Linked DNA regions of Diceros bicornis minor. The protein of the gene in region 1 purifies or fractionates together with the protein of each later gene. This does not show direct contact. Links are inferred from orthologs where the notes say so. Each region holds a gene or a part of one and is shown in the gene's direction. Other genes may lie near its edges. The genes, in order: DDX6, ATXN2, DCP1A and AGO2.

Region 1 (7,811 bases):
ATTAGGATCTTCTTGGGAGCCTTAAAAAATGATGCCAGACTCCCAGCCCTAAGAATTCTGATTTAATTCCTCTGGGATGGGGCCCAGGCACCAGCGCCTGTGTTGACGCTAATGAGCAGCCATGATTGAGAACCACCAGTAAGAGGCTTGCAGAGCCACAAAAAGGGCTCCGCTGAGGTGTGGGAGCAGGAATTCATTGTTGAGCCAATCAGCCTGGTTACACAGCTCTCTCCAACACCAACACTCCTGGAACAGAAGCTGTGAAATTAGAGAGTGGCACTTATTCACTGAGGTTGGTAAGGCACTAGGCTAAAGAAGTAAGAGATGATAGAGCCTGGGGAAAAATAATTGAATTGGCCAACCTAACAGAATAGGCTCTAATCTGACAGAATAAGAACAGGTTCAGATGAAAGTTAATAAAGTAATAATAGCAACACCAAGTGATTTGTCTACCAACTACTAAAATAAGTGATTTATACAAATTCTCATTTACTCTTACATAGCTCTAGGTCTTATTATCCCTATTTTATAAATGCAGAAATTGAAGCTCAGAAGTTCAGAAAGGTTCCCAAGTTTATGGAGTTAATAAACGACAGAACTAGGATTTGACCCAGATCCAACTGACTCTAGAACCCGAGCGCTGGCTGGGCAGGAGCATGGGACTGGGAAGGTGAAAAGATAGTTGCATGTGGGAATCTGCTAGGATTTGAATGGGCTTTAGATAGGCCCAGAGGAAAGGAGATGAGAGGGTTTCTAAGGGAAACAATGGAAGGTTAGAGAATGTTCTCCTCTTAGCAGACCAATGTATTGGAGGATGGAGGAAGAGTGGGAAATTAGATGGGGTAGGCACATTGGCAGTCCCCATCTGTCAATGGAGTGTAGACTCCATGTGGTAAAAAGAAACTAGGAGACACTAAAGGGTTATTTAGGGGGTGGTTGACATGATAAAGAGTAATCTTTAAAATTCATCAAGGAGATGAAGAGCTAGGAAGGTCACTGAGAAGACCTCTGCATTGAAATACTTTTTTCTCCCTTTGTTCCCTGTCTTGTCTTGGTGGCCACAGATGTCACTTAATCCAAACATGGCACTCAGGATTGAAGAGGTTGCCCACTCTTTAGCCATAAACTACCTTCCCAGGGTTCATACCTAAGATCACAATTCTATTTTCAAAGACCAATAAAAGGCTCTGCAAATTGATGAGTGGAAGGAAACCTGAACTGGACACCTGGTCACAATTGTTGCTATCCCTGTAGAGAAGGCTATTCAGAAATATAATCTTGTTACAAGGTCCTGGGTATAAAGGAGGCATGGTACACACATGCCAACACCATGACAATTCCATAAGATTGTCACGGACCCCCATCAACATTACCCATCAGCAACCACCCCTGAACTCACTCAGAAAGTACCCAACGGGACCAAAGCATCATACACTGGGACGGTGTTAGATCTTTCTTGATCTGAGTAGACCAAATTAAATTTATACCTAAAGAACTAGTTTCCAGATTCCAGTGTCTTCCCAGCCACACATTATGTTCATAATAATGAATAAGTTAAAATTGCTGGTGCACAGTACTTTTAGGAAAACTGAAGAGGCAAAATGAATAGCTGGAATTCTCTGGGTGATGACTAGAACATAAACAATGCTGAAAACTGGTGGGGCCAAAAGACATCTGGCGAGCTGAGTTGGCTGGTTGTGGTGCCCTGGGAATAGGGAGATGTTATCTGTCAAAGGGAATATAAATTCTGCAAACTAAACTTGGCAGTATGGGGAAAACGTGTTTAACCCCATTTTCCTCCCTGTTTGTAATTTTCCTTTTCTACTCTTCAACTTGAGTTTACTCTGGAAGTGTAACATTTATTCCAACAAAATGTGCCTGGTGAGGTCTCTCAGTGATTAAAGACATCCGCTTAGTATGCATTAACTTCAGTGCAGTACTGGCACCTCTCTGAGGATATCTTTGCTAAGCCCTCAGTAGGCTGATATTGCTTCATTTTCTTTAGGTGTATAAACTGAAGAGGCAATTTTGGCCTGCTATGAAGTCCAAAGAAAATGATACTCAGCTCCTTGGGCTTGTTAGCCTTTACTCTTGGCTAGTGACTATCAGATATTGCTGAAGCACATTTGGAAAGGAACTTTACCTGCTGAAATTTCTTTTGGAAAATCAGAATATTATACTGTAAATCATGAAAGAGGGAAAATGCTGTACTATAAAGCTTAGCCAGGTGTGATATAATCATTTTATTGAGATTATGGTACGGGCAAATCTTTTTTCTTCTGGGTAATGGCTAGTAGTTTGAGTTTTAAAAAAAGCTATTATGTTTCCTTAATTATATAAAGTTAAAAGTGTGAAATCCATTTTAGCATGTTGAAAACATTTGGGTTTTTAAGATAGTATCACAGATGTACATATTCCAGATTCAAATTACTTGGAATTTATATTCTAAATATTGTAAATTAAAGTTAAAATGAAATCAAGTGTAAGTTAACCTGCGTTGTTTTTTTTTTTTTTTTGCTTCTAGTTATTTTTAGGTAAATAAATGAGGATAGGATGTGAGACTGGCAAACAATATTTGCTGGGAGGACCCATTATTGTGATTGAATTCCAAGTAACATTTTTTTAGTCGCATCCCATTCTCACCAAAAAAAAAGGAGTCCTGTTGTGTTTTAAACAGATACTGAAAACCTCAATTCTATTTGTGAACCTTTTTCTTTTTTAAAATATCTTACCTACAGACAGATTCTCTAGGAGCCAGCCAACAATCTAGGCCTAACACTTTAGCTTCATAGTTCAAAATACAAAAAGTAGGGTAAGGGGGAAATGAGTGACTAAAAACAAAATGAAAATGGCCAATACATCTTGGGAAGCACTTTACCACAATTAATAGGTGACCTCACCGGGGATAGCACACCCTCTAGAAACCATATTCACCACAGATCACCGAAACCATTATACTCAATATTAACTAAAGGCCAAAGGATTGGATTTATGTAATATTTTTTAAATATACATTTTATAAATATAAGGATGTTGTGTGGATTATTAAATAATACATCTGTATTCCTGATGTGTCATATTTTCTATGATTCTTGTTAATTTGCATGAACTAGAGAGAAAAAAGGTATTGAGATAGTTGGATTGGACCTATCAAATACTAAAATTGATCCCAGAAGAAAATATCCAAGGGTTCATAGCTTAATTCTAGACCATCTATGCTTCTCATCAGAAATCTGAAAAGGGCTGACATAAATGAGTTATAAGGATATCTGACTATGTTATAAGAACTTCACGCAGAATCTGTAAAGGTTTTAGCCCTGGAAGGATTCCTAGGTGAGAATGGGCAGCTATTTCATATTTTACTTTAGGTTGCCTCCTCACTTTTGTTTTTGTCATGACCTCAATCAGGCCCCTTTGAAAGGTAAGAGTATATTGGTGAATGCAAACCCCTTTTCTTTGCCTGCTCTCATTTCTTAAGTGGTCTAGGAAAAGACACCCTAACAGGCAGTGGCCTGTTTTAAATCCTTAGGTTCCCCTCCCTCCCACTGACTTCTTGCCCTCCTCCCGTTCACATTCCTGCTACTTAGAAAGACAGTGAGGCAAACAAGGCCTCACGCTTTAACATTTTAATAAGGAACCATCCAGCTATCCTCTCTCTAGTACGGGCACAAGGTGCAGGGTTATTCCCTTACAGGAGTGGGTGTTTTAAAATCTGGGTGGGAGATGACATGCTACAAATCTAGAACTTAAAAAATTGTAAGACCAGCCTTTTCACACTTTTCTACCAACTTTCCATTGGCTGTGCGGAAATAAACAAAGATCACCAAATGAGAACAGGCTACTTATTCAGAGCTTGCTATATAACACGAGAGCCGGCCACCTTCACTTGGTTTGGTAAAGACTCACAGGCAGGCAATGAAAAAAAAGGGACAGGCTCCAGGTGCGCTCTGATTGGAGACTGTTGGCATGGGGAAGCTGGAGGCGGGCTAACTAGAAGCGGGGCTTCTCATATGATTGGTTTGGGGAACATATTTGGCTCTCTCTGATTGGTCCCGAGTTGGAAGCAGGGGCAAAATTAGGGAAGCTGGCCGTCAACGACCCAGTCCTGCCGATTCGGCGCAGATCGTTGCAGAGGCTGTGGTTTGGCTTCCCGAGCTGGTTGCTGCAGAGGTTGTGGGTCGGAGTTCTGTTGTAACATATGGTGTGGCATTGTCCTTTATAAACAGTTTTTATTTTACCTTGACCTAGCTAGCTTTCTAGCTTTAAATTTTTGTTTTACCTGGAGCAAGACAGCATTGCTGTTATTTCTGTTAGGGATAAACGGAGACATTACGATATGAAAAGTATTTATGGGAACAAACACATATCTTTATAGTGAGGGTCAGGGAGGAGAAAGAATCACCCTCAGCCTTCTGCTTCCCCATTTCCTTAAAGAACTCCATTTCCATTACAACTGACTCCTCAGCAGCTTTCCCCTCCTTTAGGAGAGGCCCGGCTTCTCCCGCCTTCCCCCCCCCCCCCCGCCCCTTTCTTTGAGGATGGCCTAGCGGGGCCGGGAAAGGAAGGTCGCTGCCCCAGCCCCCGCCTCCTCCCCAAGGCGCGCTCTCCCGGCCGGCCGCCCTCCGCCACCAGCGAGCCCTCGCGGCGCGGCCCTCCCCTAACAGCCCCCTCCCCCTTCGGCTCGCCCTCGCAGCCCGGGCCTCCCCTTCGGCCGCCCATCGGCACGCCCTCTCGCCCCCCCCCCCACCCCCCAGCGCAGCGCACCCCGTTCCCCTGCCCGCCCCCGCGTGCTCTCCAGGGTCTTCCCGGTTGTACGCCCCCTCCCAACCCCGGCGTGCCCTCCGGTCCAGGCCGGCCCCCCATACCCCCTCCACACCCGGGCGCCCACCGGTGCCTCCGGGCCACTAGTTCCGCGCGTTCCTGGACGGAGGCGCGCCCCGGAGTGGCTCGGACGCGGCCCCCTTGTTCCTGCAGCAGCCTCCTGGGCCCACGGGAGATGGCAGGTCAGCTCTCCCGTCCCCAAGCCGGTCCCCGAAAGGCCGTTCTCGGAACGCCCCCTTGGTCAGGAATAAGCAGATCCTCCTCTGGTCTCGACCCCCGATTCCCACTGTGAGGGGGCGAAGGCCGGGCGGACTCCTCCCCATCCCCCAGTCGTTTCTCCTCAGCTGTGGAAAAGGCGGCCTCCCTTCTCTCAGGAAGAACTCGGTATTTCCCCTTCAACTGTCCCTAACTCGGGCGCCCGCGGGGCCGCGGGGGCAGTGAGAGCACGGCCCTCCATTTTCTTCTCAGGGAGCTGCCCCGGCCCGACTTGCTCCTGCCGCGAAGCCCGAGACGCTGTGACGCCGCGGCGGGGGCAGCGGCGGCGGCTGGGCTCTCGCCATCTTGCGAGGAGGAGGAGCCGCGGCCGCCGCCATGCGGAGAGGCAGGGAGAGAGGGCGGCGGGGGGGGGGGGGGGGGGGACGGGCGGCGGGCCGGCGAGGGAGGGGGAAGGGGAGCCGAGTTAGCTCAGCCCGGGCGGCGACTTCGGCGGCGCCATGAGAGCGGGCCGCGGCGGAGGTAGGGCTGGCCGGCCGGCCGGGGAACCGGCAGGCTCGGGCTCCTCAGCTGAGCGGCCCCCCGAGCAGGGCGGGGGCGGGGCGGGCGGAGGCAGAGGCGAGGGGCCGGGTGGGGGCGGGCGGAGGTTTCTGAAGAGGAAGGAGCCGCCGCCATTTTGGGAGCTTCGAGTCAACAATAAAGGACTGAGGGTGCCGAGCGGGAGTGGCCTCTGGGGTAGGACTCGGACCCGAGCCTCGGGGATTGGGGTGCGATGGGGGGGTCGAGGTCAGCGGTGCCGCTGGGGCTGCGGAAAGCCCCCCGGCCGGCGTGGGAGGCGCTCTGAGGCGGAGGCCTGAGGCCTGGCCGGGCCCTGGGGAGGAAGGCCAGCGGCGGGCGGCAGCTGTGTGGGGTGGGGGCGCTGAGGGGAGTAGCTATGGGGATGTCGTGGCGGCGGGGTCCGGATAAGGAGCGGGCGAAGTACTTGGAGCAGCTTCGTAGAAGACGAGGGAATGTGGGGCCATAGGGGGCGGCAAGGACTTCGGGAGACGGTGGAGGTTATAGGGTACGAGGCGGCCCTATAGGGGGCGGCAGGGATATGCAGTATTGCAGGGCTCGGTTTAGAAGAGGACCGGCAGCTGCTTGATCGGAATAAGGCCTTGTATGTAGGTCGATAACAAGAGGGTGATTATGGAGCCCCAAGTCGTAGAGGAAAGGAGGGGCTTTCTGAGTTAAGATTTCTCTTTGGGGCCTTATAGGGGAAGTCCCTATTTCCGACCCGCGGGGCTGGTTCCCTGCTCTGTGGCGCAGATTCGATTGTAGGGCCCCAACCCTTTTGTGTTTATGGTCGCAGGGAGCTGACTTGAAGTGTGTGTTTTGGGGGACGGGGGGAGTAAGAAATTACTGCCCTGCAGTTACGGGGTTCAAATCATTGGCTTGTTCCTTTCCCTTAACGCTCACTCCCTTTTCTCTTAACAGTCCCTTTTGCCCTCAGAATAGAACAGTCACTCCAACTTGCAGACCAAGCTTAGAGAAACTGCGCTGCATTTGCAAACAAAAGCTTTTGTTGGAGATGACGATACTGTTTTGGGTCTGAAACTGTCAGTTGCTAACTACAATCTGGGAAGTGCTGCAATTAACTCCGCAAGGGGCTCCTCCCAAGTAGTCTACGTTTTCGTTAGTATTTTTGAAAATCTAAATTGCAAATCTAAATTGAGAAGAGGTAGGAGGAATGTTTCCTTCTCTGAGACATAAAGCTGCAGTGCAGGTTTCATTTTAATTAAGAGAGGAGCAGTTATCACAGTCACATTTTGGATCTAGGGAGATATGAGGTCTTGCATGATGGACTGTAATGATACCATTTAATCTTTAGAGGTTGCCCTCTTCATCCTCTTAGTGCTTTGCAAACAGCTACGTGATATTGTTGATCATAATATAAACCTGTCAATACAGGAAGCCATTTACTGCCTTGAACTGAAATTAGGTGGTTGTTAACCACGGTCTGCTTCAGCCAGCCACATTCTGGGAGACTTCCAAATATACAGCTTTGTGTATGTGATAATCAGGATTTGCTTGTGAGCAACTTTATCTTCAATTTTAAAAAAAGGAAGACACACCGAAGGAGTATTTGAGAAAAATTTTAGTGTTTGAGAAGCCTTGGTGTATGGCAGAAATAACACTAATTAATAAGCTAGTGTATTTTTTGGCAAGAAATGTAAAGGAGTTAAAAAAGAACAAACCCAACAGAGTAGGCCTTTGTAAATTAAGTTTTCATTTACTACATTTTAAAATAAGAATTCGATTTTAGGAATAATTAAAAATGGAGGAGGTTGACCAGTTCGTTTTGGAAACAACTATTGGTACTCTGGCTTTCTTGGAAAGTTTGATTAGAGTTACTAGTGTGTTTAGCTGTTCACAGTTTTTTTTAACACAGGTAATTTCCTTTTTGTGTGTTTATAATTTTTTTTAATGGTAATGCTGTTTTAAGTTAGGATATACTTTTTGAAAAGTGTTATATTGAAATGTAGCTAATAGTTTTTTAGTATTCAGATTTTATTAAGGTAGGTAAAGATTTTTTTGGCTGGTTTTCAAGTCAGAAAATTTTGACGTATGCACGTCTGTATCCCTGCTTCAGTTATTGTTTTAAAGGGCAAAAACTTTGGGGAAAAAAGAAAATGCATTTTTCTTCATCAAGTTTAACTTCTGTAATTGAAATTCATAGGGGCACAATTTGTTTTTTCTGAAAGCATAAAGTCAAAAGCTCACGTAACCCTTCAAGG
Region 2 (7,694 bases), on another chromosome or scaffold:
CCCCTCCTGCATTCTCCAAATGGCGCATACTTCAAATCTCTGGCTTTCCGTAAATCTGTGGGCCCTGAAATAACAGCCTGCCCACAAAATTTACCCCAAAAAGGGGGTGAATGAAAACAAAAAGGGAGAACCAGGAAGAACAAAAGGCTGAGTTTCTTTAAATTTCTAGCTCTGCACAGCACAAGCATTTCCAATGAAAAATAAAGAATTCTTTCTTCTGTGTCGATTTCAGCTGGCATCCAGCTTTTGCCTTGTGAATAATGTCACTGCATCATTATTCTGTCCCACAAGGTAAAAAACACTAAGCAACTTAACAACCAGAAGTGTGCTCGTGTGGAGGAAACGGCTCATTTAAAAGCTTTTCAAATAATGTTGCTGTGTTCCCTACTATTTTGCCACCCCCCCCTCAGTTTTTTCAAACCTATGGGAAAGTTGTTACTTTGCACACAAGGTGTGTACATAATGCCCTCCTGGAAGCACCCCACACTTTACACTTTCTCTTTTTTTTTTTTTATTGCTTTTAGCCTTTTGGGATTCCTGGAGTGTCTACAAATAGATTAGCCTCTAAGAATTCTGAGTAACCATGGTTAGAAAAAAACACTGGTTTAATTAGCCATGGTCCTATTTTTGAAATTACATCTGCTCTTTTTTTTTTTTTTTTTTTAAGTGAGGATTGGTCTATGCAAAAACTTGAAGAGGATGGATTTTGGGGGGGGTGCATGTTAGTTCTGATTTGAATTAATTTTCATGCTTTTGAAAGCAAAATCAAGAGTATTGAGTGAATAATGTATCATCATACATTAAACATGATCGAATGAAGAGAGCTGAAAAGAAATGATTGCAGAAAAATGAATTGCTGGAAATACTGGATCATCTGATGTGTGCTGCTGTATCGTGTGATAGCAAATGACTCTTCGCATTTCTGCTTTGCATGGCTACATCAGTTTTTCATCTCCACATCCTCAGACTTGATTAATCATTGAAGTGATGAAAATTAAAGGGCCATGTGCCTTGCTGAAGGGTCATTGAAAATCAGAAAGCAAGTAGAGAATCCATAAGACTAGATTCCCAAGTTTGAAAGTCTTTCTCTATATGTTTCTCACTTGATACTTTCATTTCTGAAATAGTGGTTGAAACGGCCACAGCTATTTTTGAAGTTTATATTTTAGAAATACTTCTCAATATCAGAACTCTTTCAGGACAGTGTTTTTCATGGCCTTTGATGACAACTCTTCAGCAACACTTGTTGGTTTTATTTATTTATTTTTAATAATTTTATTTATTTATTTATTTTTCCCCCAAGGCCCCAGTAGATAGTTGTATGTCATAGTTGCACATCCTTCTAGTTGCTGTATGTGGGACGTGGCCTCAGCATGGCCGGACATGCGGTGCGTCGGTGCGAGCCCGGGATCCAAACCCCGGGCCGCCAGCATCGGAGCGCGATCACTTAACCGATAAGCCACGGGGCCGGCCCAACACTTGTTGGTTTTAAACAAAACCAACAATGGCTGCCTGAAAATTGGGGCCGGGGGAAGCACTCAAAAATGTAACTTATACTGGATATACTATTAGTTCCTGACTTCATTTGTCTTTAAAGAATTCTGAATGCACATGGAAATCACCAGAAATGCACTTTTTTTTGGGGTCATCTGTATCAGTTATCTATTGCTGTGTAACAAATTCTCCTAAAACTTATTGACTGAAACAACAAAAGGGTTAGGAATCTGGCGTGGCTTAGCTGAGCATCTCTAGTTCAGGGTCTCTGGAAAGGCCTACTAAGGTGCTTCGATCAGGGTTGCAGTCACAACAAGGCTTGACGGGGGAGGGGGGGGGCGGGGGGGGGGGTGATCTGCTTCCAAGCTCACTCACCTGGCTGCTGGCCACCATCAGGTCCTTGCTGCTGTGGCTGGAGACGACAGTTCCTTACCATGTGGGCCTCTCCACAGGGCAGCTCACAACATGGCAGCCACCTTTCTTCAAAGCAAGTGAGTGAGAGAGGGCAGTCCAAAACAAAAGCCAGTCTTCTTTTCATATAAAACTAAAGCCCTCTGACATCACAGTTGCTGTTAAATAACCACATCTTCAGAGGTCTAGAATTCAGGTGAGGGGTTTGCAGTAAGAGATATTTTTTGGTTCTGGGTGGTGATCCTCCTTCCATAAAGAAAAATGGGGAAGTGTATAAAATAGAATAGATAGTAGAGGTTCTCTTGGTTTCCGTTTTAATATAAAAGCAGAAATCAAATTTTAATGATAAACCCTCAATATTTCAGGCGTGGATGTAAAATGGTATAGTCACTTTGGAAAAGAGTTTGATGGTATCTTAAAAAAGTTAAATATAAATTTACCATACTATCTAACATTCCATTTCTAGGCATCTACTCAAGAGAAATGAAAACATATGTCCACGTGAAGACATATGTTTACAAATGTTCATAGCAGCATTACTCAGAATAGCCCCAAACTTGAAACAACCTAAATGTCCACCAACTGGTGAATAGATATACAAAAAGTGATATATTCATACAATGGCATATTACATGGTGATAAAAAATAATGAAACACTGATACGTGCTACGATGTGGATAAACCTCAAAAACATGTGAAAGAAAGCAGACAAAGACCACCTATTGTAAGACTCCAATTATACGGAATGTCCAGAACAGATAAATCCATTGAGACAGGAAGTAGATTAGGGGTTGCTGGGGCTGAGGATGGGAACGAGGAGTCACTGCAAATGGGTATGAAGGATCCTTTTGGGGTGATGGAAATATTCTGAAATTAGTGATGATGGTTTCACAACCCTCTAAATTTTCTGAGAATCATTGAATTGTATACAAAATGGGTGAATTTCATAATATGTAAATTATGCCTCAATAAAACTGTTAACAATATATTTTCAGTGATAGTAGATGAAACTTTGAGCTTTCTCAGCGTAAATGAAATCAAGTTCAGCTACGTCAGCCTCAGGCCTTCTTATTCCACTTGTTTTTCCTCCCATTTGTCTGGAATTTGGTCCTGAGATTGAACTCTGGGACCTTGGTCCCAGATATAGCTGTCAAATAATTAAACCAGAGAAAGTTGATTGTACTTCTATTATGGCCCTTCTATTTTTTTTTTCCTCATCCGTTTTTTTAGTCTCAATTTCCTTTGGGTTAATTTTTAAAGGATTTTGCAAACGTTGGTTTAAAAGAATACTATTTTTTTTTTTTTTCCTTCAACCTCCTTTTACCTCATCTGGGAGAAAAGCTGATTTCCTACTTTTCAAGTGTTTGCAGAATATAATGATCATTTTTGCCTGAACTATCTTGGAGATTAATTTCAATTTGGCTACTGGAGACTCGTGGCTTAAGCATTCTCCAAATTTTTCTGTTTTTACCTTTATCTGACAATTCTGGGAGATTGAGGGGAATTTTGGTATTTTCCTCCTATTTCCTGAAGTCGTTACACTTTTTTAAAAAACTAGATTCCTTACTCAAAACAATCAAAAAGTTATCTACTTGCTTCCAGTTTAATTGCAACACAGTCAAAAAATGGACTACTGTGCTGGCTACCAACCTAAGTTAAAGTAAAACTAAAGGGGCCAAGGTCTAAAGCGCGCACCTTCTTGTGAGGTCTGTGCTGTCTCCACCGAAGGAGCCGCTATTATCCATAACTCTACCAATCATGTACATTTCCTTTTGAGTCTCAAGAATGAGGAAAAAGAAGTCCAAGTGAGGGGAAATGGGTTCAAATGAAGGTCAGATACCCAAAAGTTTTCCAGTTACTGTGTTACTGGGGTGAAAAAAGTGGGCAAAAGGTAACCAGATCTGGGTGGCCCCAGGAAGTGGCTCGATTCCAACACTGCCATTCTTGGTACAGAAAGAGAGGACAGCCTGCCTTTGAGACACCCAGTGACACGTGAGAGCCTACTGTGTGCCAGCTGCTGGGAATACAAAGAAAACTGTGGGATGCTTGTGTTCTAGGTGCTTTATACGGAGCAAGGCAGTCTGCGCCCAGAAAGCACTCCAGTCCATCCTCTAGGTTGCATCAGGTGGGGGCTGAGCAAGGTGTCTGTGCAGTGGCCGACACCTCCTGTTGCACACGGATAATATCTGAGTCTCCGTCTCGCTCTCTCAAATACGAGAGGGCGGACTCGGATTCTCCTAGCCGTGCGAGGACGTTGATGGACTATTGGGGGGCGGGAGGCGGGGAAGAAACGCTTCCCTCCGGTCCTCTACGCTAGGCCGGCCCTGCAGGCGAAGACAGACACGCCCTCTCTGAAAGGCAGACCCGCCTCGAGGAGGGCGGATCCGGCCAGGGCCGGCCGCCGGGCCCTCACCCGACCCCCGCGAACGCGGCCCAGCGCAGCGCCCGATCCTCACGTGTCCCTCCCGGCCCCGGGCCGCCTCACGTTCTGCTTCCGCCCGACCCTTCCGACTTCCGGTAAAGAATCCCCGTCCCGCACGTCCGCGCCCACCCGGCATCGCCACGCGGCGCCTCTGTGGGCCCGGCGCCCGATGCGCTCGGCGGCCGCAGCTCCTCGGAGCCCCACGGCGGCCCTCGAGCCTCGCCGCCTGGCCGCGGCCAGGTGGCCCGGGCGGCGCTCGCTCCCGCCGCCGGCGCGGCGGAGCGGGCGGGGCGGCGGCGGCGCGGCTCCGGGCCCGTATCCCTCCGCCGCCCCTCCCCCGCCCGGCCCCGGCCCCCCTCCCTCCGGGCAGCGCTCGCCTCCCTCCGCCTCAGACTGTTTTGGTAGCAACGGCAACGGCGGCGGCGCGGCCCGGCCCGGCTCCCGGCGGCTCCTCGGTTTCGGCGGGCCTCCCCGCCCCTTCGTCGTCGTCCTTCTCCCCTTCGCCGGCCCGGTCGCCCCCCCGGCCGCGCCAGCTCGCGCCTCCCCGCTCGGCGCCCGCGCGTCCCCGCCGCGCTCCGGCGTCTCCTCGGCGCGCCCGGCTCCCGGCTGTCCCCGCCCGGCGTGCGGGCCGGTGTATGGGCCCCTCACCATGTCGCTGAAGCCCCAGCAGCAGCAGCAGCAGCAGCCTGCGGCCGCCAATGCCCGCAAGCCCAGCGGCGGCCTTCTCACGTCGCCCGCCGCCGCGCCGCCGCCGTCCTCGTCCTCAGTCTCGTCGTCCTCGGCCGTGGCTTCCTCCTCCTCCTCCTCCTCCTCCTCCTCCGCGGCGGCGGCGGCGGCGGCGGCGGCGGCGAGCGCAGGCGGCGGCCGGCCCGGCCTGGGCAGGTGGGTGTCGCGCCCCAGCCCCCTCCGTTCCGAGCCGGCCTGGCTTCGCGTCCCCTCCCCCGCGGCCCGCACCGCCGTCCCCGCCCCGTGACCGGCCGGCCCGGGGGGGTGGGCTGGGGGCCCGCAGTGGGGGTGGGGCTCCCCTGCCGTCCAGAGCCGGGGGGGCGGGGGGTGGGGGTGCCGCCGGCTCCCTGTGAGAATGTCAGGCGGTGTCCGGCGTCCTGCAACATCCCCACCCCCTCCGCCGAACGGTCAAGATGGAAGGCCTGGGCCGCCTCCCCCTCTCGTTTAAGTGCTGGGGAGGGGGTCACAGGTCTCGGCGAGTGTCAGCTCTGTTATACCTTTCTCAAGCCTCCTCCGCCCCCGGGGGGGGATGCTTGGGCAGCGCCCCCACCCCCAGTTGGGATGTTAACGTGGAAGGGTCTTGAGGTTTTGGTTCCGTTTCCCGAAACTTGCCAACTCCCCCATTGGGGAATAACGAGGGAGGGGGGAGAGTTAGGGCAGCGTCCCCCCTGCCTGTTAAAGGGGCAGCCGCAGGGCTCCTCTGGAGTCTTGAGGGTCTGTGCAGTGTCCTTACCCACCCGCCTCCCCGCCCCGGGAAGATGGAAGGGCCAGGTTGAGGGGGTGGGCAGCGGCCCCCCGCACCCCTCCCCATTTAAGTCGCGGCGTCGGCGAGGCTCCAGAACTCCTCGGGAATCGTGGGGCTCTGTGCTGTCTCCCGCAGCGTCCCGCCCTCCCCACCTGAGGACGGGGTGGGGAGGCCCGGCCCCCGCCCGGCCTCCCTCCTTCCCCCGCGAGGCCTCCCCGGCGCGGGTGGCGGCCGAGCCGCATTGCTGCTCCGAGGCCGCGGAGGAGAAGTCGCCTTGGAATAGCGGTGGGCGAGGGTCGGACCCCGGCGTGCTGCAGAAGCCCAGCCGGACTGGGGACATTGTGGGGGGCGGGGGCAGGGAGCTGGCATGTTGCGCATTTTTCCCTAGCCCCCGCCCCAATTTTTGAAATTTCAAGGGGAGAGGGATTGCAGCAGGGGGCATCGTGGGGTTCCTGGAGGCAGAAATGCGGATGTTTACTTGCGTCGTCTCCCCCTCCTGCCCCCATAACCCAGGTTTGTGGTAGAGACCACTGGGGGCTCAGTGTCTTCTCAGCTAACCGGGTCTGACTCTGGCGGGTGTGTTTGTGCGGGAAGGCCTGTTGGGGGTGTGTGTGTGGGGGTGGTTGTCAGTTCGTATTTCACGAACTAGGAAAATGCTTAGTGTTCAAACGGGGCAACAAATGTCAATGGACTCCATTCCATTGTGGCCAGTGTCCTTAACTTGGGGAGTGCCGCCAGAGCTCTCCAAGGGCACGCGAGTCCATTTCCCCGGTGCCCCGGGGCCCATCCGTGTTGCATGGACTGCCATGCCTCCCTTAGGTCTAGGCGGGGTTGGCAGGGTCAGTAAAGAGGATCCTTCTTAAATAGACATTCTGGGCTTTAGAAGGTGGGGTAAGGGGATTTTTTCATGCAGTAAGTTTTGTTTTTGAAAACCGATTTTCAGCAATCCATTTCCAAAGAATTTTCATTTATGGCAGGAGAAGTTACCCATCAGGATGAATCAGAGCTGATTTTTAAGGAATTCTGCTGCCTTCGATGGGAGGAGGGGGAACATGGGTTTTTTGACTTGTGCTCTCCCCCCCACTCCCAGACTCCCCCTTCTCTGAAGCACCCACAGACTACTACCTAGTCAAACTACTTCAAATGAAGTGCTTATTTTCCCAGCTCTTTCCATTTAGGATTCTGCAACTCCATAGTGAAAAATGGAAAAATTTTATATGTAATTTTTATAGAAAAGGATGCACCATTTTTTCCTTCTTAGGTATCAGAAATCTGGCAGATATATTCAACTTGTTCAAATAATTAAAAATTAGAACTAAAGCTTTTACGTTGCATCCACTCTGGTTAGGCTTAAAAATTGTCAAGAATCTGTTCCAGAACGGCTGGAGTGATCAAAAATATTTGGAGTGTTGTAGCACCACAGATCTTTTTCTGTTCGTTGAGGCATCGCAAACATTTAGGGTTAATTTAGATTCCTCCTCCCTTTAAGTTCTTTTACTTGAGGCATAAATTGTGGCCCTTATTCTTTTTGGTAAATATGTGGGGTTTTTTTTTTAATGTATTGGATTCATATAATGTGAAATTTTGTTCTTGTACAGATCTTCAGTTAATATACTTGTAGAATTCCTTTCAATTTTGATCACTGTTACTGGGTTCTTTGTAAGCCATTACAGTTTCTAGAGTCTCACTTATGTTTGTATTAACAGTTAAAATAAGTTTCTGGGACCAAGGGTGAAGAAAGGAAGTGCAGCGTTGGGTTTGACATGGTTAGAGATGGCAAAATATTCTTGAAAGTCTAGAAATACACGTCTGCTTTAAATAATATAACGTCTCATCATATTTGATTCTTTTTGGTGAATAGTGCATTTTCTTGGCTTTCAAAAATTTATTCTGTCT
Region 3 (7,119 bases), on another chromosome or scaffold:
AGGCAATGTCTCCTAGGCCAAGGCAAGGACTTTGGATTTTACACCAGAGAAATGGGAAGTCTGTGACTGACTGACAAAGTTACACAGCTGGTAAACTTGGAACTAAAACACTCATCTTCTGACTTGTATTCTAGTGTCCTTTACCTTAGACCCTGTGATTTTATTTTTCATTTTATTTTATTTTGTGAGGAAGATTGTCCCTGGACTGACATCTGTGCCAATATTCCTCTATTTTGTATGTGGGACACCACTGCAGCATGGCTTGATAAGTGGTGTGTAGGTCCACACCCAGGATCTAAACCCACGAACCCAGGGCCTCCGAAGTGGAGCATGCGAACTTAACCACTCCACCACTGGGCCAGTCCCTAGACCCCATGATTTTAAATGGTAAGTTTTGTTTTTTACCACAAAGGCACTCAGAATGAAAGAGAGGTGGGGTTGGATTGATTGGGTTTTTTTAGATTGTCATATTTTAAATTATTTTTTAAAAAATATTTTTTAAAAAAATTGACATTCATGGAACACAACTCAAAAGTGACCACAGGTTTTTCAGTGCAGAGTTAGACTCTTTCCCGCCTCTGATCCCAGCCACTCATCTCCCCTCCCCTCCCTCTAGTCTCTGTCATGGCCTTAAAGGAGTTGAGTTTCAAGATGACATTCATGCACCAATATTTACTGAGAGTCTATTCTTTGCCATGGGCTGTACTAGGTACTGGAGACTTAATAGACTAAGATGCAATCTCTGCCCTCTCAAAGCCTATTGTCTAAAAGACACAAGAAAGCTCTTAAGGTTTGATTCACAAATATAAGGCAAAAATAGGTCCCAAAGTAAAACAAGAAGATTTTCAATTCCAAAATGTTCACATTTTCTTTAACATATCTTAAGAGCTGCATAGGGCATTAAAGTCAACACTAATGTTTTTGGGTCATGCAAACAAGCATTTTGAAGCAATTTTCTATTCCAAATATGAAAACTCCCTAAAATAGCTTGGGGTTCTTCACTAGTTTATCCCTATTCAACCAAAAATAATAAATGAAAAGGAAATGTCTTCGATTACTTTAGGAAATCTATATAAGAAAAAAAAACTAATGAATAAGTCACAAAGATGTAATGTACAGCGTGGTGACTATAGTTAATAATATTGCATTGCATATTTGAAAGCAGCTAGGAGAGTGGATCTTAAAAGCCCTCAACACAAGAAAAAAATTTTGTAAGTATGTACGGTGATGGATGTTAACTGGGCTATTGTGGTGATCATTTTGCAATATATAAAAATATCAAATCATTATGTTGTACACCTGAAACTCATATAATGTTATATGTCAATTACACCTCAATAAAAAAATAATAACTTTTTAAAAAGAAAAAAACCTAAATTCAGTTTCATGTGTGCCTTTGGATTTTGTACCAAGGGAATGTATTACCTATTCAAAAAATACATATATATCTTTTTAAATCAGGGTACAGATTGAAAGTAGGTAGAGGGGAGTAGGGCTCTGTCTCCAGGAGGAAGAAAGGCAGCCATAGTGTGGAGGAAAGGACCCTGGGGTAGAAGGCAGGAGTCCCTGAATTCTAATACTAGATCCTCCCTGACTAGTGTGGAACTTTGAGCCAGTGATTTCTCCACACAGCTTCAACGAAATCATCTACCAAGTGAGGATGACCACATCTTCCCTACCTCACCATTAGACTGTCAAATGAAAGGGAGCCCTTGCCCTTCTTCTGTGATGAACTCCTACTCATCCCTGGAGCACTGATTCAAACATCACCTCCCCCATGAAGTCTTCCTAGACTTTCCTGACCAGATGACATTAGTGGCTCCATCCTCTGGGTTTCAAGAGAAATGTTTCTAGCATTGTCCCAGTTTCCTGACATTGTTCTACTTCTTTCAGTTTCTCCCACAGGCAGGAAGTTGTCTTAGTCTGTGAAGCTCCCAAGGGCTAACAGTTCACAATTAGAAGTTTAATAAATAAATACTTGCTTAATGAACAGTGAATGAATGGTACATGTTTCCTTGTCTGCATTTGTACACACTTCTTACATGTGATAAATAAATGAAAAGCAATAGGATATATTGGAGTATATGAGGAAGCCATTTAGTTTAAAACTAATTCTGCCTCACATGGCCTATTGATCATGCATTGTATGTCTGCTTTAAACATTTACTACATACCAAAGACAAGAATGATGCCCTTAGAGATAAGGATGTAACTTCCCCCCATACTGGCATTTCTAGAAACTAAGGATTGATTATCAACTTGCTGTGCTCACCTTGTGACCACTGACCTGCTGTGCCAGCCAAGCATCTCAGGACAGTAGTAAAAGAGATACTCCTATCATATGTAACATATGCTCTTTGTTCCAAGACAGTATATAACCACTCTATACATCCCACTTCTTAAGAGTGCTTCCTTCCTTGGGGAAGGCAGGCCCTGGGCTATAGTCCTCAGGCCTGGCTCATAATAAACTCACCCGAATTTTGATTATGAATCGTTTGTGTTGACACGATTCTGCAAAAAATGTAAGATATGAATGGATGTAAAATCATAAACAATACAAATATTATGGGCTTTTTCTTTCAAAAACGTTCAATTCCATTAGGGCATCTTTTCAACATAAGAAAATGTTTTAAACAACAACAACAACCGGGTGTGGGGGTGGGGGAGTGTACATGGAACAGAGATCTGTGGGAGATCAAGATTTGGCCACCCTGAAATCTATCTCTTTACCTTGGTTGTTTTCTCTGAAGGACATTTGACCTCCCCCACTAACTGCCTAAAGAATTTGACATGGTGGCTCCTTTCTGGAACAGATCTATCATGATGGTTGTAAAGATAACGTAGGGTAAATGTTACAATAGGAAAGGCACCAACAAGCCCCTCTTATCAGAAGTTCTGTCTCTCTGGCCACATTCTCTGGATAACCCTGCGAGGAGTTGCCAGACAATCATTTACATTTATAAGGGAAATCTCCATTTGTGAAGGTATCTCCCTCTCTGTTTGGAGAAGAGAGGGGGATGAGCTCATTTCTAGTGACTTATCAATGTGGAAGGTGAGGCCTTGAGTTACATAATAAACCTTACTCTTGTTTACTGTGCTTTAGTGGTAATCTCCTGTAACTGACTCCCCCCACCCCCAAAATCCTCCTTTGTCATTGGCTGAAAATGATATTTAAGACGAGAATTTCTGCTATTGTGTTGAGAAACGCAGTGTCCCTGCTTTCTCCCATGTATACGTGTTATTAAACTTGGTATTATTTTCTCCTGCTAACCTATCTTGTTGATTATTTGGCCAGCCAGAAGAACCTTAAGGGAAAGGGCAGAGGGAGATTCTCCCTCTTCCCCCGACAGCTCCCTATAGTCTCCACACCTTGTTTTACGCTTCAGCTAGTACCAGGCTCTTCGCTGTTTGCTAAAAGAATGAGTTATCTTTTTAAAGCTTTAAACGATTCACGACAAACTCAAGCCTCCACGGACTCTTCTCAAGACTGGATGGAAAGATTTCCGTAGGATTCAGACGAGGAAAATAAGCAGCAAGAGTGAACAGCACAAGACACTCCTGTGTAGTTACAGGCAGGTTAGTTTGGCCTTTTTCAAAAATTTCCTTCAGAAAAACACGACATTGCTAAGGTGGTGATCTAGTGAGATGCGAGATCTGGGGTAACTTTCTGGGTTCCCTCGCTCCCCCTCTCCGCTTCTCTGAGCTTTCTACACGGCCCGTGGAGCCCTGCAGGGCCACAGCGGGGTTTTCGTGCTGAGGCCACGGGCCCTTCCCGTGCGCGAGCCGACGCAGGCCCGGCGTCCGTCTCCAGCCTCGTCCGGAAGGAGCTCGGAGGAAGCTCTTGGGCAGCCTTGATCCCGGCGCCGGGACGTTTTAGCCCGCGGAAACCTGGACCTCCACCTGCCAGCTCTGCTACGCGGTCCTGCACACCGCACCGGGGCCTCTAACACCTGCAGAGGCCGGAACCCGCCGCCCGGGGCGTGGGCGCAGCGGAGCGTAATAGCTACGGTACCGCCCCGCCGCCAGGCCCCGCGGAGAGGCGGAAGCTGAGGGCGCTGACGCAGCTGGGGGAACTTTGCTTCGATGGCACCTTCCTGTCCGCTACTCCGCCCCCGCCAGAGGGGCTCGGCTCGGGAATTCAAGATGGAGTCGCTGAGCCGAGCTGGGCAGGAGATGAGTCTAGCGGCCCTGAAGCAGCACGACCCCTACATCACCAGCATCGCAGATCTCACGGGCCAGGTCGCTTTGTACACCTTCTGCCCCAAGGCCAACCAGTGGGTGAGTGCGGCCAGGCCGCTGAGGTCGCTCGCCCTGCCGCCGCCTCTTAAAGGGGCCGCGCGGAACGCCCTGGGTGGGGGGCGATGCGGGAGGCCAGGGCGACGGAGGCGAGGCCAGGGACTGTAGAATAGCCTGGCCGGCGCCAGAGGGGTGTCGGGGGCGCCCTGGATCGGGGGAGAGGAGCGAGAGAAGTAGGCCCAAGACAGGGGGAAAAGCCGATAGAGGGGAGGATTGGAGGAGAATCTGTCGCTTGGGGTCGGGTCCGGGGACGTGGGCGCCCTGCCTTCTTTGCAGGTGTGTTTTAGAATACGAAGCCGATGGGGTCAGAAAGATGCCTGAAAGATTGTTTGAAGCTTCGAGGGTTATTAAATAAGTTACATATGCATAACATATAAAGTAAACACCTCGTAAATACAAGCTCTCCCCGCAACAGACACATAAATAAGAGCCCCCTTCGCAGAGGTCATTTGGATTGAAAGCTTGAAATCCAATTAGTTTCAGTTCTTGGAAAAGGAGGTGGGGATAAATCCGGCTTTTATCGAACTACGCTGTGTTTCCCGAGTTTTGGAGAAGATTTCAAGGCACTTAGGAAAAGGGCTTCGTATTAACTGGATTCCTTTGAACTCTTTGGAAACGAGACCCTGTAAATGTGTCTCCTTTCAGCTCTGCTGCTGGTGATGTCACCTCTGAATGCTCCCATCAGACTAAGTACTTTTTGGCTTTTTTGCACGGAAGGGGGTCCGAAAAGTTACGTTCAGTCTGTTCAGTGACTTGTTAGCCCCTGTTTGAAGCTTCTTTCGTTGTTTAAATAATATAATTTCCCGTTTTCTCGTAATCGACCCTTCTTAATGAACTCATTCAGCTATAAGCTTGACATTTAGAAAATAATCCGTACATGTTTGTTGGATTGAATTCGTGAGTGACTGACGTTCACATTTCAGTAAGAAATGAAATCTTTATGTTAACAAAACTCTAAAAGATTGTTATTGTAATATGTCCTTTACAATATAATACAGATACATAGGTTATATTTAATCAGTAATTTTGTGAAAATCATTTGGCATTTATAGACGGTTAATTCAGGTGAACAGAGTTTTCAAAATCATCTTGCTTTACTTTTTCTTTCCTTCACCTCCTGAAAGAGGAGATATAGGAGGCCACAAATAAGAAAGTTATAGAATTTTTTTAAGTGTAGCTGTTTTAGACGTTGCCTTAGTTTGAATTGTTCTTAATCATTTTTCTTTTCTTGGTCTACCTATAAATTTGTGAAATATGGATTGCAGACAAATGGTGAAGACTTGGGGCAGGGATTTATTACCAGCAAGCTTTTATTTCCAGTTTTTAACAGACTTTCATTATTTTGGAATTTTAATTGTGGAGTTCTATTTTAAATATGAAATACAAGCTTTAATAACCTGAATTGAAAAATAAGCTGTTGTCGTTCATTTGGATCATGGCACATAGAGCATAACCAAAATCTTTCTTTCTTTATTATTTTACAGTGAGTTGTAACTTTGCACAGTGTTTTGTTTGGGCAAGTTTGCTTCCACTGTAAGACAGTTGATTACCAATTTCTTATACTAATAACTTGACATTTGAAAGGCAAGAAAAAGCCTCTGAATCCTTAGGAAGGAAAAGTTTCATGTGATATTTCAGCTAGGGCAATACTCCTGGAAGAAATCAAGATGATAAATATTTTTTAAAATTTTTTATCCCAACAAATTCAATTTGATATGACTAACATTTAAGGTTTTCTAGTAGTTTGTTGATTACATTAAAATATTTAGGTCCCATCCAGGCTGTGAACTGCAGACTATTATGGTTATTTGTTTCTTTAAAACATCATAACTGTTTAAAACCTAAGTACACTCTTATCACAGCAAGTGAAAGATGATATGAGTTGTACTTTCTTAATCAAAACATTTCACTTTAAGCTAAAAAAAATTTTTTAAATTATATGTAAGACCTACAGTAATTACATTAAGGCAGAGTATAGTTTCAGTATTCATAATTCTTCAACAAAGTTCTAAAAATAAGCTAAGCATTTTTGACAGTATTTCTTAACTAACCACGGAATTTGCTACTCATGAAAATCCCCCAATGATGAAACAAAGTGTCCTATAAGATAAAATTTTGTTTTTTTATCTTACTAACTTTGATAAACTTTAAAAGTGAAGAAATTGCTGTACACAGGACCTTGGCTTTAAAATTAAGAAATTTGGCTAAAACATTTTGGCTTTAAAAAGTGAAAGTTGGGGCCAGCCCAGTGACCGTGATGTAGTGGTTAAGTTTCAGCACACTCGGCTTCGGCAGCCCGGGGTTCAAGGGTTCAGATCCTGGGTACAGACCCTCACCACTCGTCAGCCACGCTGTGGCAGCAACTCACATACAAAATAAAGGAAGAGTGGCACAGGTGTTAGCTCAGGGCCAATCTTCCTCAACCAAAACAAAAAAAAGAGGAAGATTGGCAACGGATGTTAGCTTAGGACCGGTCTTCCTGAAATTGAAAAGAAAAAAGTAAAAGCTAATTCTAGGGTTTTCTTCTTTAAAATTTAAAAAAGGAAAAGAAGGAGCTAGGGCCGGCCCGGTGGCTTAGCGGTTAGGTGCACGCGCTCCACTGCTGGCGGCCCGGGTTCAGATCCCAGGCGTGCACCGACGCACTGCTTCTCCGGCCATGCTGAGGCCGTGTCCCACATACAGCAACTAGAAGGATGTGCAGCTATGACATACAACTATCTACTGGGGCTTTGGGGGAAAAAAATAAATACATAAATAAATAAAATTAAAAAAGAAGGGGCCAGCCCAGTGGCTAGTGGTTAAGTTCACGTGCTCTGCTTCAGC
Region 4 (7,063 bases), on another chromosome or scaffold:
GTATGCCAGTAAATGACACCCTCTGCAGCACTGTTGTGTCAGTGGCCTCCTGGGGTTGTGCAAGGAGGTGGCTCTGATTGCTTGCATTTTCAGAGTTCTTGATTTAGCCTCTGTTGGGTGCACAAAATGACAAAGTGATTTATGTATTCAAATTAAGTGGTTTCCATTTAATGTTGGGTTCAGTGTGTAGAAATTGCTTAGATGTGTATTTTGTTCCTACTATGACAGAAGTATTTGTCAATTCACAGCCATGCTCTTGAGTTTTTAATTCAGAAAAACAGCCAATACTTTTATTCAAAGAATCTTAGAACATTATTACTGGAAGGCATCATAGAAGAGCTCTACCTCAGTGTTTCCCAAAAGTGTGTTCCCTGGAACCTGAAGGTACCCTGTGATTAAAGGGTTCTGTGGCCAAGTGGGTTGGGACAGACTGCATACCATCTATTCCCCTCCTTCCTGTTTGTAGAATCATGATTCTTAATACTTTGTTAAAGGCTCTGAGAAGGTCTGCAGCCAATAAATCTGTTTAGTGTTGTTGCACTCAATGCTTCCCAATTTGGTTGACCTCCTAACCCCTCTTTTATCACATGTAGAACATGTTTTTGGATCAACTGTTTTATTCCGGTGCCCACATTTAAGTCTTGAAGAAACTAAGGGACCCCAAAGGTGACAGCTTTTGCCTTTCCTATGGCATTTCTGCTCTGGACTGGGTGCACCCAATGTGCAAACCTGGGGCTGACCAGTGTTGGGGTCTCTGGCTCTGATTACTTTCCTGCAGTCTTATCAGAGCATAGGGATCCCCAAATACAAAGCAATGAATTGTATCTGGGAGAAAGACTGGCCTCAGAGTCGGCCCTATGTGGTTGACATGCAAGTGCTGGATGAAGGCCTGGAGGAGCAGAGCAGCAATGGGTTGGAGAGGGTTCTAGAGACATTTCACAGCGAGAATTGAGTGGACCCCGTTAAATGGGTTAAGTTGAGTCAGCGATTTCGGGAGAGGCAGAAGGCAGAGGGGCCTGGGGTTTCTTTGGTGGATGGTGAATCTGTTGGCCATGCTCGGGAACACAGGGAAAGGGCAGACTGGGAGGAGGTGAGAAAAGATGAACTGGGTTTGGCATTGTGGCCCTGAAGCTTGGGGGTGGGTGGGAGGAGGAGCGCTGCAGAAAGGGGGCGGGGTTCCTCAACACCAGCAGTAGAAGGGGATGTCTGGGAGAGGTGGACTTATCTAGAAAAGGACAAAGGAGAACCCTGCTGCTAGTGGCGGGGGAGGGAGAACTCCAACTCAGACACTGCTTGGGCTTCCGGGGAGGCCTGGAGGTGGCCGGTGCAGGCAGCGAGGGCGCTGCTTCACCAGCAGGGGGCCTCGAATGTTCCGTCTCCGCGGAGAAGCCACACAATCAGGCGCTGAGGAGACATTATCTTGTTCGACCTTCTGCAAAGGAACCCTTGCAACAAAGTTACCCAGTGTGTGTGCTCAAAAAAGCAGAAGGCGGAGCTGGAGGGACACAATTACAGAGCCTTCTGGGCGTTTTCTGAGGCTAGAGATTACAGTAGCAAACAGCCTCTGAGTGGTTCAGTGATTTCGGGCAGAAAACAGGATGGTGATGTGTGAGGGAGACAGAGGCAGACAGAGAGTGGGCCCTTGGCAGTCACGTGGCTCATAAATAAGAGACTAATAACATTCATGATTATTATTTTTAAATTTCTTTATTGTGAAACGTAGCAAAGGTACAGAAAAGTATATAAAATATGTACAGCTTAAGAGATGTGCAAAATGAACAGCAGTATTACAGGGAGGAGCCTGCACCCCAAAGGGCCTCCCACCTCTCTGGTCACAGCAACTGCCCGCCACCAGCAGTAGCCATCATTCTCTTATGGGAAACTACCTTTTTGCTTTTCTTTAGCTTTTTGCTACTTAATTATGTGTCCCTAAACAACGTAGTTCAATTTTGCCTGTTTTGGAACTTTTGTAAGCGGAATCATGCAGTATGGCTGATGGATTCTTCCACGCAACATTGTTGAGGTTCATCCATATTGTTGCACTTGGCTGAAGAGTGTTCATTTTCATCACTAGATCCCACTTCATGAATATATATCGCTCTTATTACTTACTCAATGGCCGATGGATATTTTGGTGGTACCCAGGTCTGTGCTAGTGTGCATTCCTCTCCGGGCTTGCTGTGCTTCTAAACCCACATTTCAGCAGCCTATCTCCCTAGGGCCACGTGTGGTTAGCTTTTACAGACACTGCCAAACTTCTTTTTCCAATATGGTTGTACTAATTCACACTCCCACAGTAACACTCTTGAGAAAGTGAGGATGTGGATCTGAAGAAGAAGGTGAAGTGGAAGATTCTGGTAAAGCAGGTAGGGGCTGTGTCACACAGGGCACTGTAAACCAAATTAAAGATTTTGGACCACATGCAGATGGAAATGGGGAGTCAACAAAGGGTTCCCAGCAGAGCAGGAACAACATCAGATTTGTGTTCACAGATGACTGGTGGGTGCAGAGCAGTAAGGGGCTTTTCAGGCGGTCCAGGAGGTGGTGGGCAGATAATTAGAGAGGATGGATGGGCTTCCTGGAGGCGATGCCATGGGATGGAATCCCGTTCACATCAATGATTTGGTGAAGATGGATATCCTTGCAAGTTCCTCTCTGGAGGAAAGGCTGCTTTTCCTGCACTTATTTAGGGATGTCCTCGAGGATTGCAAAGAACAAGTAATAAACCTATTGGATGCTAAGTTCTTTGCAGACAGGACTCCTGTTCATCTTTGTATGACTCTAGGCCTGAGGAACACACAGTCCCTTGCACCCAATATGCAGATAATACATGTTTATAGGATTTAGGAATGAGCAGGCAAGTATGTTAAAAAGATGATGACCAACTTTGGATTTTATTTCACCCTCTGACTTCTAATCACCCACTAATTAGGGGAGAAAGGAGGTAATCCTTGGCTGGTTTCCCTGGAAAAGGCTCCAAAAACCTGTGGAGGGAGACTTGAAGGATGGAGGAGGATTTGGGTAGAGGGGAGAACGTTCTGGCACACGTGGGGAGAGAACAGAAATGCAGAGGAGCGTGATGGGGTCCGCTAAGGGCCCCAGGGAAAGAATGTGGGGAGGCCCCTGAGCGCCGGAAGAGGGAGTTTTAGTTTGAGCTCACCATTGATAGCAGCTGAAATCTACCAAAAACGTAATACTATTTTTACATGGATTATCTGGGTTCTTGGCCGGGAGGTGGCGCTGTGGTAGTATGCAAGGGCCGGGGAGCGTTCAAGTTCAAGCTCCGGGTCGGGAGGAAGCTTCCCGACGTTCATGTTTCGTTAATAACTTAAAAAAAAAGCTCGGCTGAGATGCTGGGGCGCCAGGACGCGGACTCCAAGGCCAGGCCAACACTGTGCCCCAGTTCCCCCGGGCGGGTGGGGGTGAAGGTGGCGAAGGGTCGTGCACCCCACCACCCACCGCGCGAGCAGCCAGAACGCGCTCCCCAAGCGCGCCGGAGACGCGGGGGAAACGGGGGTGTGTTTTCCTTTCTTTCTTCCCGGTCTCGGGTAGCACAGCCGCGCTGGCCCGCTCCGCCCAGCCGAGGAGACGTCGCTCCTCCGAGTGGCTGCGCGGGGTCCCCCCGCCCCGCGCCCGCCCCCGCGGCGGGGCCTCCGCGCCACACCGGCCCGCGCCGCCCAGTCCCCGTCCGGGCCCGCCCCCAGCTCCCGCGCCCCCGCCCCGGCCCCGCCCCGCCCGCGCCGTGCACCCCCTCCCACCTCCGCTCGCTCTCCCCCTCCCTTCTCGCCCCCTCCCTTCTCGCCCCCCTCCCCTCTTTCCTCCCCCTCCCGCGTCCTTCCCCGTCGCCCCTCCCTCCTCCTCGTCCCCCTCCTCGTCCCCCTCCTCCTCCCCCTCCCGTGGCCCCTCCCTCCTCCCCGTCTCCGTCCTCCTCCCTCGCCCCTCCCCCGCCGCCGCCTCCGCCCGCCGCCCCGGCCGTGTCGGGCAGACCTGTTTGGCGAGGCGGCCGCGCCGGGGCGGATCGTGCGGCCGGCGGCTCCCTCGCGGCTCGCGGCGTCGGGGCCCGTGGAGCGCGCGGCCGCCCCTCGCCGCGGAGCCCCTCGGCGGCGCCACCATGTACTCGGGAGCCGGCCCCGGTGAGTCCGCGCGCTCCCCGCGGCGCCGGCGGCGGTTGGCGGGCCGGGCGCGAGCGCGGCGCGGGCGGGGGCCGGGGCGGCGGGCCGGGGGGCGGGCGGGGGCCGGGGCCGGGGGCGCGCCGGCGGGGGCCGGCGGCGGCCCGGGGGGCGCTGGGGCCGGAGCCGCCGGCCGTTCCTCGGCCCCGCCGCCGCGCAGCCCGGCCTCCTCGGGCTCCAGTCGTCGGGGTCCCCGCGCGGCCTGGGCCCTTCCCGCGCCCCCGTGTCCGTCCGCGCGTCGGGCTCCCGGGCGGGGGCCGCTCCGGGCCGCCCGCGTGTAGGCCCGAGGCCCGCGCGCCCGCCTGCCGGCCGCGGCCGCCGCCTCCTGCGCCCGGAGCGCGGGCCCCGCTGCGCGCGGCGGGACGGCGGGACGGCGGGACGGCGGGGCCCGGGCCGTGAGCGCCCGCGGGGGTCAGTCCCGGTCGGGGCGCCGAGCTCGGGGTGCGGGCGGCGGGCGAGGGACGCGCGGCTCCGGCGCCAGACCGAGCCGCGGCGAGCCTGGAGCGCACTCAGTTTCGTTTTTCTTTTTGCCAGCACTTCTGCGGCCCCTTTTCTGAAGGAAAGTCTGGAAATGCTGAATTTTGGCCAATTCCTCTTGGTAGTTAGGACTGTAGACTGAGGGACAGGAAGCGGCACCCTAAAACCCTGAAAGTGCGTGCATCTCATTTTCATTCCAGACACGCCGGCTCCTTATTCAAGTGCTAATTGCTTTTTACAATTTACTAGAAGAAGGTAAGGAGATGTGTGGATCTCCTTAGCACCCCTTCTTACTAGTCAGCCTCTCTCTCTTTGGAAAAGTTCTAAAAACTTAAAGCAGTAACACTTTTTTTTCCCTTAATGTAGAGTGGAAGGGCGGTTGACTTGCTGGACCAAGAGAATGGTCAAGTGTTGTAAAGCTTTTTCCCCCCTATCCCGCCAGGCACGTGGCTCCTAAATTTCCCGGCTAGCCCTGCCACTTGGACGGGGCATCGCCTCTTTGTCCGCCAGCTCGAGCAGGCTGCAGGCCCCGCCGTGCTCCCGGCTTGGTCCTGGCCCCGTGCTAGGTGCATTCAGGTTCCCGGCCCTCCGGGGCCTCCTGCTGATGGGGCCCTGGTGGGACCTGCTCCAAACTGGGAGTCTGGAAGCCCTTCCTGATCCACTCGGGGGCCTTGACGTTGTCCCGCGCTGTGTCTGTTCACAAACAGCTCTATGCCTTGTGAGTTCTGAGTGTCTTGTTTCCGATGTTACGTAGAAAGCTGCTCCCAGGCTGAACCTGATCAACTTTTAAGGGCTCTCAGCAATTTGACTGAAGAATGGTTTTAACCCTACACCTGAGAGGTGACTCAGCCTTGGTGGGGAAGGGCCCTGGGCTCTGTTGTCACAGTCCTGGGGGCAGATTTGGCTTCTTGAGACTGTGGGCTGGCAGCGACCCCACCCGTGAAATGGCAGGGTAGTCCCTCACCTAGTTGAGTGAGTAGAGCCAACAGAGGCTCAGAGAGGTTAACAACCTTGCCAAGGTCATATGTCCAGTGAGCATTAGGACGATCTGTCTGATCCCAAGCTGCCTTTTTCTACACTCTCCTTAGAGAAGTGGCTGTCACTCCTTTTGACCTTGACCCACAGTAGGAAATACCTGTTACATCTGGACTGCACCCGTTCGCTCAGGAATAATGGAAACGAGCTTCAGGAAGCACACTTAGCTTACTGTGTGCTCCTTGTGGGCATATTTTCTCGTCTGTTTCATTTTTTAAAAATGCCTCAAGCCTTTGGATCTCCAGGCTCATTTCTGGTCCCTAACAGCTTTTGGAAGAATCTTGCTCTGGTGCCGGTCTCTGCATTGTGGTGGGGCCCCACGATTCACAGATGAACTAGCCCTGGAGTCCGACAGCTTGGGTTGAAAAAATAAATAGGTCTGTAGGATAGTTCTTAGCTAATGGCAGGATGGGAATGAACCCAAATTTCGGGCTGTACAAGTGTGCTGTAGTTATAAGGCTGTGGTACAGTTCAATTTTATTCTACACACTGAGGCTTTTAATTTTGTTGAAAAGGAATTTTTGGAATAGAATCTCTTCAACGAAAGTCTTCTTAATCTTATATTTCCTAATTTAGAATAATGAAAAGACATTCAATCTGGATTGTAGGGAAATTACAAGTAGTTTTGCTACTTCCAATTTTAATACACTTATTAAGCAAATTACTAAGTAAATTAATTTAAAAAATAGAGTTGACAATAGGTCTGTGATATTCCCATTACAGATGCTATTATGGATGTGAATTAATATCTGGATTCTAAAGTTAGGTATGTTACTGTTTCTTAGTTTTTTGAACTGTTCCAAGGAGTTAGTGGTTTAGGATGGGTAGACTCTCAGTGACCCTGAACCTTCATAGATGAACATTAGTTCTTTTTAAACCACTTAGAGATCTTAAACTGTGTCTGAGCAATAGCCTACTCCAAGCAGATTGTTTCTTTTCATTTTACTGTGTTCAAATTCCTGTGTGTTACACCCTTGACAGATTTGCTACAAAGTAACTTCTGTAGTTAACTTCTGTTAACATCTAAGTCTTGTTTGAGAGTTGTCTAAACAGGGTTGTGACTTTGAGAGTAATGGACTTTCGCTGTCCCTTCTAGTGCCATTTAACTCCTCCCACAACCAACTTCTCACCCCACCCCCCTTTATCTCAGTGGAGATATGATGGGGGCCCCTGATAATGGTGCACCTTCGCTGCAGCAGATGCCCCTGGTGAAGCTGCTGCCTGCTGCCGGAAGGCATGGCTGGGGAGTTGGGCAGAGTCCTCTTGGATCTGTTATAAATGAAGAACGATTTAAATAAGCGTGTAAGAAAAAACGATGTCAAAGCTTTGACTCCTAAAACCTGTATGGTTTTACGAAGCAGAATATTTTTTGTTAACTTCTA

Evidence for each region.
Region 2: the proteins of DDX6 (region 1) and ATXN2 purify together in Homo sapiens (affinity purification with mass spectrometry; 6 studies listed by BioGRID and IntAct, counting the BioPlex papers as one, with this or other methods). This does not show direct contact. The link is inferred for Diceros bicornis minor from reciprocal best matches to the Homo sapiens genes DDX6 and ATXN2.
Region 3: the proteins of DDX6 (region 1) and DCP1A purify together in Homo sapiens (affinity purification with mass spectrometry; 8 studies listed by BioGRID and IntAct, counting the BioPlex papers as one, with this or other methods). This does not show direct contact. The link is inferred for Diceros bicornis minor from reciprocal best matches to the Homo sapiens genes DDX6 and DCP1A.
Region 4: the proteins of DDX6 (region 1) and AGO2 purify together in Homo sapiens (affinity purification with western blotting; 5 studies listed by BioGRID and IntAct, with this or other methods). This does not show direct contact. The link is inferred for Diceros bicornis minor from reciprocal best matches to the Homo sapiens genes DDX6 and AGO2.

Annotation. Positions count from the first base shown.
Region 1 is NC_080746.1:18,137,651-18,145,461, forward strand, and holds the start of DDX6 (probable ATP-dependent RNA helicase DDX6), read left to right. Parts: upstream 1-4,791; 5' UTR 4,792-5,003; intron 5,004-5,050; exon of another isoform or gene 5,051-5,205; intron 5,206-5,508; exon of another isoform or gene 5,509-5,556; intron 5,557-5,692; exon of another isoform or gene 5,693-5,769; intron 5,770-7,811.
Region 2 is NC_080774.1:9,832,703-9,840,396, reverse strand, and holds the start of ATXN2 (ataxin-2), read left to right. Parts: upstream 1-4,686; 5' UTR 4,687-4,976; coding exon 4,977-5,209; intron 5,210-7,694. UniProt on the Homo sapiens protein: Involved in EGFR trafficking, acting as negative regulator of endocytic EGFR internalization at the plasma membrane.
Region 3 is NC_080741.1:53,869,191-53,876,309, reverse strand, and holds the start of DCP1A (mRNA-decapping enzyme 1A), read left to right. Parts: upstream 1-4,119; 5' UTR 4,120-4,143; coding exon 4,144-4,278; intron 4,279-7,119. UniProt on the Homo sapiens protein: Necessary for the degradation of mRNAs, both in normal mRNA turnover and in nonsense-mediated mRNA decay. Removes the 7-methyl guanine cap structure from mRNA molecules, yielding a 5'-phosphorylated mRNA fragment and 7m-GDP.
Region 4 is NC_080760.1:53,395,546-53,402,608, reverse strand, and holds the start of AGO2 (protein argonaute-2), read left to right. Parts: upstream 1-4,046; 5' UTR 4,047-4,111; coding exon 4,112-4,133; intron 4,134-7,063.